2 linked regions of the Drosophila melanogaster genome follow. The protein of the gene in region 2 interacts with the protein of the main gene of each other region in a biochemical or structural test. Each region holds a gene or a part of one and is shown on either strand. Other genes may lie near its edges.

What was found. The genes of interacting proteins can lie anywhere in the genome.
Region 1: the proteins of Gbp1 (region 2) and mthl10 form a complex in vitro, tested with the Drosophila melanogaster proteins (one study listed by BioGRID).

What each region holds. Positions count from the first base shown.
Region 1 is NT_037436.4:332,975-340,864, reverse strand, and holds mthl10 (methuselah-like 10), read left to right. Parts: upstream 1-1,848; 5' UTR 1,849-2,378; intron 2,379-4,172; 5' UTR 4,173-4,182; coding exon 4,183-4,936; intron 4,937-5,007; coding exon 5,008-5,620; intron 5,621-5,665; coding exon 5,666-5,890; intron 5,891-6,035; coding exon of another isoform or gene 6,036-6,207; intron 6,208-6,470; coding exon of another isoform or gene 6,471-6,582; exon of another isoform or gene 6,583-6,606; intron 6,607-6,745; coding exon of another isoform or gene 6,746-6,908; exon of another isoform or gene 6,909-6,923; intron 6,924-7,224; coding exon 7,225-7,390; 3' UTR 7,391-7,549; downstream 7,550-7,890.
Region 2 is NT_033778.4:17,134,734-17,137,411, forward strand, and holds Gbp1 (Growth-blocking peptide 1), read left to right. Parts: upstream 1-1,717; 5' UTR 1,718-1,764; coding exon 1,765-2,121; 3' UTR 2,122-2,170; downstream 2,171-2,678. Other genes in the region: CG11400 (uncharacterized protein), read left to right, coding at 1-71; Gbp2 (Growth-blocking peptide 2), read left to right, coding at 2,559-2,678.

The DNA of each region.
Region 1 (7,890 bases), on a different chromosome or scaffold from region 2:
AACAAAACAACAACAGGAAGAACTCTATTGCTCAGCAAGCCACTTTAAGTTGCCTACACTACGAGTATTCATCACCTGAACTCGGTAAGTGCACGCCGACTACTGGGATCGTTCATACAATATAATGGCTCCTAGCAATTCATTTTACAAATTAAATTGGACCTGGTTAGGATTGTGCTGACACAGGTGCCTGACTCAATTGGCAAGATTCGCACTTGTAGGACCGTGTACGATTTCAGGCAATTGTCATAAAAGTTTACTGGCCATTGCGTTTACGAGTTTGAAAATATCGGTTTAGAAATCAAAGCTTAAAACTACTAATTACGTGACAAATACTGACTGTTTACCCAACTGCTCCCGCTCGATGCAATTTTATTGAGTCACTGGGAAAATTGGTTATTATAGTGAAATGGCTGGCCACCCCGCAAAGGCCGCACCTTGGTCATTCAATCGGACTGAACAGTTTCTTTCGATTCAGAATTCGAATTTGTTAAATGTTGTTTACACTTTCGCACATTTGGCTGGGAATTGTTGTTGAAACATCTTGGAATATTGTTTATTGTTTGCTTTGAGGTTTGTTTATTTCACTACAATTTCCCCTAGCTTCTGAGTATTAAATAAAAATATATCATGCACCCCGGAGTATTATATAAACATATATAATACATGTCCAGTGCTTAAGTATATACATACATACATACATATCCTAGGTCACTTTACAAGTGCAGTTGCGACTAAAGTTTCATTCAATTGTTATTATCATTACATTAGAGATTCGGGTGGGGCCATCGTGTATCCCGCTGTGCATTTATATTCATGATAAGCCAAGTGCATGTACCAATTAATTAGTGGAATGATTTTTTAGTTACCGAACTGTGTTTCCCAATGGCTTTTCTATCTTGATTTGTGTCTTACAAAGAGATCTCACTCACAAAAACAAAACACATTAATCTCTAGGGGTTAATGTGAACAGTTCCCTTTAATGTCATGCATCCAACTACTTAGCACTCCATAAACTAAGTAATGTTTATACCTTACGAAGAAAAGTCTAAAAATATGAATTGAGCAACCACTAGCAGGGATTTCGCTTTCCAAATGAGATTTGATGCAGCATGCCAAGACTATTAATGGGATCCATTAATAAGTTAATTCATTTTGAAAACCATCATCGGTTCGTTTGTGCTGCCTTCTTCGTTAGGTCCCAGAATTTAATAGAAATACAATACAACAGGAACTTATGAATAGTATAGAAATAAGAACTTCTACGGGGTTCACATTTATGTGCCGTTTCAAAATGGCCTTTGACACGAGTTTCATCAAAACCGATGAGTGCTAACAGACACCCATGCTGACGGCCATTTATCTTCCCGGGTCTCGAGTTCCCGAACGGGATCTGTTGACTGTCGAGCCTTTCTCTCCCCTTGAAAGCCCCTTGGGTGTCAGTGGAATAATATTTGGCGAACTTGCCACCCGCCCACTCTAATGGCAATCAATTGATAGAACCGCCCGCCTTTGTTTACAATCGACGGACAGCAGAGGCATCAGCATCGGGGGTCTAAAAATACTCCAGTTGGAATTTTCTCACGAAATATTCGTACATGGGGTAGAGCAGCAGCAAAAGCAAGCCCGTCAATGGATTGGCTGGCTATTAAAAATTGTTTTGTTAAGTGTTTGTTTGTGGTGAAAAGAACACTGGACCCTGTAACCACTTCTTATCTAGAGAAGCGATAACACGCTGCAGTTCACCACAGTTCAACTTCGGTGTGGTGACTTCACATTATGGATTTCACACACGGTAGTAGTGTCTCCTGTCTTTGGCGATTAGTTTCGCTTCTCAAACGGACTGAAAACCGCGCAGCCCTCGGCAAGATAATGGGCATACATATGAGAAATATTTCCAATGATTTTGTGGCATACGTGATAAGCAGTAAAGTGGTTGAATAAAAACATCAACGAAAAAACCAGACAGTTTGCATAAAAACCGAATGCGGATAAAAAACGCGCAGATTATTATTTATGTGAGTTCAGTTCACTTGAGTTTAAATTCGTTTCCGTGTAGTTTACAACGCACATAGTATATGGTTATTGTTTTGTTCGATCATTTTCGATTTAATATGTGAATGGTGTAGCAGTTTGCTTAAATTGCGTATACGCCTTGTGACTCCGGACTGATAAATTTTCAATGTGTTCAATGCCTAAGGTTTTGCCAAAGTTAATTAAGAATTAATGGACGTTTAGGAGGGCTTAGAACCACTGGATGACTCAGAGAAGTTACTCAGCCACATCCTGACCATGGACAATTCGCAAACTGTGATAATCAACCAGATAATAAGCGAGTCCAAAGCCAAAAACCTAAGAAGTCGCATAGCCGGGCATCTGTAAGTAAATGGTTTACGTATTGAACTAGAAGTGGAGATTCAATTCGATAAGTCGCTCATGTCGCCATTCTACATATATAAATAAACAAGAAAGTCATACCTTTGTCAGATATTAGCAGGCGTCGTTTCCCAATTGACTTTATCTTATCGGTTACCGACCACATATAAGAAATTTGATACGAGTCGGCTACGAAATCGTAAACATATCTTAAGTTCGCCATCGTACTCCGATTAAAGTTCGTATCCATTAAACACCAGAATAGCAAAATTGGAAATGGGCTTCTCGCAATGGACTTGTGAAAGAAAGATATTGATCAAAACCAAATTACTGTCTTTCTATGTTGTTTAGTAGAGCGGGTTATAAACTTTCCCTATTCTGCACTCTCGTGCGTTCGAATTAAAAATATGCCATCAATCAGATGAGGATTGTATGTAGCGCTATTCGTAGAATCCCTTTCCTAACGTCATTAGTCATCCAATGATTGTAAGCTCCGATTTGAATATTTAATCTTTTCGTGCATTGATATTTTGAATTATCTTGATGTGTAATTCTTAGGGTAAAAATGTAGTCAAACAATTCAGCAAGAGTAATTGTTTGGCAATAAAAATATAAATAAACAAAAAACTTTAGAGCTTTGAAATAAAATTTGGAAGAAATATTGCTTTTATCAAATAAGTTTGGCGCACTCGCGAGGGCAAGGAAATTTCGAGAATCCGTTTATTGGAAAAGACCGCTGGCTATAATTCAATTTTATGGCTAATTGTTTTCATGATTTTAATGTTCCGCATGTTTTGATTATTTTTCAAACATCCGCAGCACTCATTCGCACATTTAAAGTGCGCAGATATATACGATTGAATTTGGTCCGCTGAAATTTCCCAAGTGCATGTGCTCAGCGATTAATTATGCTAATTTCCCACCGCAAGATAAGTGCTCTGGCTCTCCCTTCCCCACCCACTGCCAGTATTCATTTTCCCCATTAGCCAACTGTGCGGAGTTTAATGTGTTTGTCCTTCTCCACCCGTTCGCATCCCATAAATTCGGACTAATTTAGTGGCCCACACTCCTGACAATGCCGCAGGTTACCCTTCTGCTTCTCCCCCAAAGGCAAACAATCAGCGGATCAATGAATTAGTTGGTCCCCAAAGGCTAATGATACAAGATAAGATAGCGAGCGGTATAACTTTTCGCACTGGTAATGAATTTATGGACGGGCTCGTTAGCAGCGCTTGAAAAGTGGGCAGATCGGGATTGGTTTGGAGTGGAGTTCGGGGAGACTGTCACCTCTATTGACAGACAATGGCAGTTACTATCAATTTAACACGAATCCATAAATGTTTGCTCAGTCTGCACTCCCTGCGTGGTTGACCTTATGATTGATGTCCCGCGGAGAATGGCGCTCAGGTCGTGGGTAGTCCGCCCCTGGTTCCTCCCCATGGGACACGTTGGCTGCTAATTGCTTGTGACGCTATCCTGTTTCGCCTCCTTAATTCTTTTCGACAACCTGTTGTCCGCATAGATCATTCACCACTCGTCCCCGCTAATGGGTCCCTAGATGTTGCTCTATTGCCCAAATTAGTGAACTCACTTAGATAAACATTAAACGACTAACTAATCGGCAAATAGGTCTTAATTAGTGACTTCACTTGCTAAGGCTTAATTGCTGCGTGTTGCGACTGATGACTAACTGTAATAACTATATTCCACTGAATATTTAAACGTTAAAAGAATAAACGTTAAAGAATAATAACAAATATTTGTAATAATATTTAATAAAGATTTACGAATTTCAGAACCTTCATTATGCCGAAGAAAATTCATCAGCCTGGAGGATCCCTATACTGCGGAGTTACATTGCTGGGCGTCCTGTGCTTGGTCGTGTTCCGGTTGATTCCGGGGATTCCCTTCGGCACTTACGTTATGGCCGAGAGAGACCACTACCACACCATAGACGATCCAAATGTGCCCTGTAATTTCTACGATACAGTGAATCTGACGGGCCATAGGCTCTTTCCCAACGGAAGCTATGATTACTACGGCACAATAGTTCCCGCAGAATTGGTCGGGACGTACGACTACATACACAGCTCGCTAACGGAGCGCATAGAGGTTCGGGAACACGTTAGGGGATGCGTCTGCAAGTTCAAGTCCTGCCTGAATATCTGCTGCCCGTGGCGGCAGGTCTTTAACTCTGAAGTTGACGGATGCATAATAGACCACTCGGACAACCGAACGTGGCCAGATCCGCCTATGCTCAATATAACCTTCCGCAACGAGTCTACGATATTGGTCAACATGTTTACGCAGTTTGCTATCCAAAGCTTCAGACCCTGCCCCAAGATGTTTTCTCTGCAGCCAGAGACCAACAATTGGGATGATTATCTACTCTTTGAGAACGGATCCATGCTCCGTGTGGACGATAAACTGCTAATCAGGAAGAACGAGTTCTGCATGGTTCCGACATACGTCAACGAATCGGACATGTTCTACACCATACATCCGGCCAATTGTGACATGCAGGACGATCATAGCACGGTAAAGATTATCAATTCGTATGGTAAGTGAAACGATCACCTTTACTTCTTGTAAACAGCATTTTATTAATCCGACCGAAATTCCTTGCACTAGCCATGATGTTCTCCATTCCCTTCATGATGCTTACCATAGCCGTTTACCTATTGATTCCCGAGCTCCGCAACCAGCACGGAAAGAGCTTGGTCTGCTATTTAATAGGGCTCTCCGTGGGTTACTCCTCGCTGTGCTACGTGCAACTCTATCAAGTTGATGCCACTGGTGTTACATGCAAAGTGTTTGGATACACAGCATATTTCTTTTTTATGGGTGCCTACATGTGGCTAAGTGTCATTAGCTTTGACTTGTGGCACAATTTCCGAGGGACGAGAGGAATTAACCGATTCCAGGAGAAGAAACGCTTCCTGTTTTATTCGCTGTACTCTTGGGGTATTGCCCTAGTTTTCCTAGCCTTCACCTATTGCGCCCAGCAACTTACCAATTTGCCCGCGAACCTAAAGCCAGGTATTGGTGATGGTGTATACTGCTGGCTGGATATGAGCAACTGGGCAGCCATGATCTATTTCTACGGTCCCATTCTGGCGATCGTTGTTGCCAACACCATCATGTTCATAATGACGGCGATTAAGATTCACGGCGTGCAGCGCGAGATGGCCCGGATAATTGCGAGTGAGAACAGCACCAAGAACCTACGAACCGAGAAGGACAAGTGAGTGTCATCCTTTCAGTATTTCTTATCCACCTTCCCCTAAAGACGTTTTTATCGTGCTTGGTCCAACTATAGATTCGGCTTGTTCTTACGCCTCTTTCTCATAATGGGCATCACCTGGCTCACGGAGCTTATCTCGTACTTCGTGGGCAGCGACAAGGGATGGTCTAAGCTCTTTTATATCTCGGATCTGGCCAATGCGATGCAGGGCTTTCTCATTTTCATGTTGTTTGTAATGAAGAAGAAGGTCAAGCACTTGATCACAAACAGGTAAGTGTTGCTCTATTCTTAACTCCACGTTATGTCCTGTCCCGCCCACTGGGCGTTTGTCCATTCACACGACTCGTGACTCCCTCTTGTGTGTCGTGTCTCTGACTCTGTCCACCATCATATCTGTAACCCCGACTATTCTCAGAACGATACGTGTGCGCAGTCTGCGGCAGACTGAGAGCGTAACGATGGGACCGACTTCGTTCTCGATGAAGCAGCGGTTTATGGACGCCTCCAACCAGATCCGCAAGCTGGTGGTGATCCGCAACGCATTTGCCAATGGGTCCACCAGTGGTATTCATTCACACGAAGTCTAAATCGATTTCGTCGATTTCAGTAAGAAGGTCTCCTTTAGCTCGGTTGCTCGTTTGTTGTGGCCTTTGCTAACCCGCGCTTAAATCAAGAATATTGAAAATTTCGGGTTATATGATTCCTGTCTAATTCCACGTTCCTTAAATCTCTTGCACTAAGATGGAAGACCCATTGAAGATTATGGGAATACATATGCACTTCGAGTTCTGACAGCGCGCAATCTGTGATTATTTTAAACCTTATATGTTGTACTTATTTTCGTTGTCAGACTGCTTTCGATATTGCTTAAAAGCAAGCTCAACACCAACAGACACTGCCTGCAGACTAACTCTAAACCGAACACTGACAGCCAACACAGCACTGAATCTCCAGCCGCCTAGCTCGGTGACTCAGTCCGGTCGCGTCTTTGTAGCTACTAAACAGAAGTACCATTCCTAATTGCCCTGATCTAAACACAAACTTATGTTTGCATCCACCATGTGTGTCCATATGTGCATGTGTCTCAACATCAATTTGATCATCATCGATCGCTATTCATTGAAGACTCCTGGAGAAAAGGCGCTCGAATGGCCTGAGCTCGACCACTACCTCGACTTCCATCACTTCTGACGCGAATGTGCTGCCAAGAAAGCTGCACCTTAAGGCTGTTGACAAGGCCGGTAGCAATGCCACCGACCCGAGTCCGACCCCGAAGATAGCCATCTAATCAAAATGGTCACAGGTAATCCTCTGGAAATGGAGAAGTAGTTGACATTGTAGTTAACCCCAGTTGGAAGAAACCATTAGATAACCCTGATAACCTCTAACCCCTCGAAAACTAATCATAATGACCATCCACTTTTGTGTCTTGGTGAAGGTAACCTGTTTATATCCTGTAGGATCGCTTAATGTGTCTGCTTTTCCCTAACTTAAAATCCAAGCACTCAAACGAACCAATTCTAATCAGATTTACCGCCATTGTCTATTCCACGCTGCCCACGCAATGGACGTCATAACCACTCCACCACTTCACACAAACACAGATGCTCGAGTGTTCGCGATGGCAGCAACCAACGTCAGAGCCAGTACTCCACCAAGACCACGTCGAGCAGCGTGGCCAATCTGTCGCTGCACGAGAAGCCATCGGTGGAGAAGCCGCTAGTGATCAGCTCGAGCGTGGATCCTCAGAAAACCACCATCTTCCGCTGATCACAGCACTCGCAGTTGCCGCCATAGGCAGAGCATTGAATACCTCGGGATGCGTGCAGATCAGGAAGGACTAATCGCATTTATATTCATTTCGATCGGATCCTCGCATTATTGCGAACACTGCGTTCCTTTCTGTAGATAAAGATCACTTATTCATATTTTAGGACTACATATTCCTATCATGAGATTATTCTGTAATCAACATTTAAAGTCGATATCTATAAATTCGCGAAGTAGCATCCACATACGGATAGAACTTTATGAAAGACACTACTATAAGAGAAAGTCCCTATCCCCCAGAACTACCACGAAAACCCTTACCCACCCCACCCCGCCCAATTCTCTTTCATTTTTTAATGCCATGTGACCACGAACAACCTGATTAGTTGTATAAGAAATTTATGCAGAGCCATATCTACTGTTTATGCAAGCAAAATTGTAAGGTTCTCCGAACCCAGCTGAGAGATCAAATTTGTAATTCTCCATTAGCCTAAGTCCAA
Region 2 (2,678 bases):
TGGAAACAACGCGAATTTGTCCACAGGGCACTACTCTGACCGTAAATGATCATTGCCGAAAAATTGCCTAGATTAGTGCCATAAAACTGGGAACAACTGAGAATTAATTAACAAAAATTAAAAAAAAAATATATTAAAAATATTGTTATAATGGAGTACTTCCCAGATTTACTTAAATATTTGTAGCATCGATTAAACACAGTGGTTCTAGAATTCAATATTTGTTCTCTTGTCATTTGTGCACGTCTAAAATTCCCAGTTCTGGAATAGTCCCGCTAATTATATTGAATGCATTAGTCAAATCGTTCTATCATTAGCATATCAAAGATGCTTTTGCATATGTCCATATAATTTCATTCTCATGTGTACAAATATGGACATACAAATAAGGACATACAAATATGGACATTTAAAACACACCTCCTCAAAAGATTCTTAATTGACCAGCTTCTGCGTTCTGGGGCAAATACAATTTTATGATCCAGCATTTGCTGCAAAGGATTAGGGAAACCCAGTAAAATTTATCAGATCTATAAATATTAGTAATAGATTTACGAAATTAATGATAATGCTTAGATTTTAGTAATAAAAATTATAAATGAACTCAAATGCAGACATCTTGCTGCTGGTAACGTCTTCGTTAGTATATCAGTAAGTGTTTCAACGAATCAAATATTCTATACGGGAAACGGATATAATGAATATCTCTGCATACAAACTTATTTGAATGGGTAAGCTTTTCCCATTTTCAACTATAACCATTCCAAGTGATTCGCTCTATAATAAGGTGCTGAAAAACTGAATCACACTTAGAATAATTTTTAAATAATATTTTATAGTATCTACGACGGGATGAATATCTTAGGGTCTTAGAAACTGCTATAAATTCTTAAAAATTGAACCTCCACAGATTTAGAACTTAGTGCGATATTGAATGAAGTGAATGTGTTTACTTGAGCTTCCTTTTAAAGTTATCCTCTCGAAGTGAATCCGAATCTGAATCAGAAAGTGAGACAGAGCCGGAAACTGAGACTTCAGAGACTCTGTCGATTGCAAATAAACAAAACCAACTTTACGATGGCAATTACGCGGCGTCTTCCCTGGCCGAAGATGCTATTTTTGTTTGTCTGGCTGTGTCTGGCATTGGATACAAATCGTGCAGCTCGAGTGTCTAGCGATCAGTTTGCGTTTCCCTCAGAGTCAGATAATACGAAACCAACCATTGCTAGCGATTCCACTAGTTTGGGTATTGAGCCTAGAATTGTCCTGGAAACAACGCGAATTTGTCCAAACGGCACTACTCTGACAGTAAAAGATCGTTGCCGGAAAATTGCCTAGATTAGAGCCATAAAAGTGGAAAGAAGTGAGAATTAATTGACAAAAATGTAAGAAATAAATTCAAAAGTATTGAGTGTAAATTATTGCATTGCAAATCAACAAAAAAAAAAAAAAACGTTCGAAATAGCTGGGCACCAACATATTTCATTAAAAAAAAGCTTTATGATAATTCAGTTCTGTCAGTGTAGACTAGCTGAGATATATCTGAAAAGCTTAACGCTACTCTTCTGCTTTGTTTACGTTTTGTTTTCATGGGAGAGCTTATGAGCTCCCTTGCCATTCTTATTGTTGTCTCCCAACGATTTGCTCCCATCATTTATCTGGTTTCGCTGGGAATGAAAATCTGAATGTAAATGGCCAGCCAGTTGTTTCCGCGCTCAGTCATCGAAGCTTCATCGTAGCAAACGAGCGTGCATCTCGGAGATAATGTTGATACGTATTAATCCATTGGTGCTGTGCATCCTACCGCTGGTCTTCCTCCTCACCGAGGCGAGAACACGGCCCAGTGGTAACGATCGCATCGTTTTTCCAAAGGATGACGACGATACCAGCTCGAGATTCACATACTCGACCACAACGACAACTGAGGAACCCGCATCCACAATAGCACTCCGTTTGGAAAGTACAAACAGCACAGAACAGATCACCAGCGGATCGGAGGAGCTGGTTAATGAAAACACCACTGTGCTGCCAGTTATAGACAACCGAATATTGCTGGAGACGACCCAAAAATGTAAGCCTGGCTTTGAGCTGTTCGGAAAACGATGCAGAAAGCCGGCGTAATCTGTAGTCGCTAAGATTGATGTTAGCCAATAAAGTGATATTTGTGTAGAACTTTTGATTGATTAATGGTTTTTTCGGTGACTATTATAAACGATTCGGAGGCAGACAAAAATACCCATAGAAAACCCAAATCACAATTGTGGGAGAAACGCTATTGGGGGAAACTTAGCGTCGTGTAAAACGCAGTAATTTTAGTTTGGTGGCCATCACTGTGAGTCAGTGTCTAACTCAAACAATTCCCGGTGCATTCAGCTGCATCAGTTATTCCCTACTCTTCTGCTATGTAATTTGATGCCTTATCTGCTGTCATGAACTTGGCTTATCAGCGGCTCATAATAAATACTAAACTCGGTTAGATCGTCTGTTCTCGACTCGACAGCGCTGCTCAGTCTGTTTTGAATATTCAACGCTGCCGTTGGGTCGATTTCGTGTCGAAAATGTTTTTGCAACTCTTATCTATAAGGTTGGCTATGTCACTGATCCTTTTAATCAGTGGACAATGGACTTCAGCTCGTCCCCAGAATCCTTACTACGTGGAAAACGGCGGACATGGATAT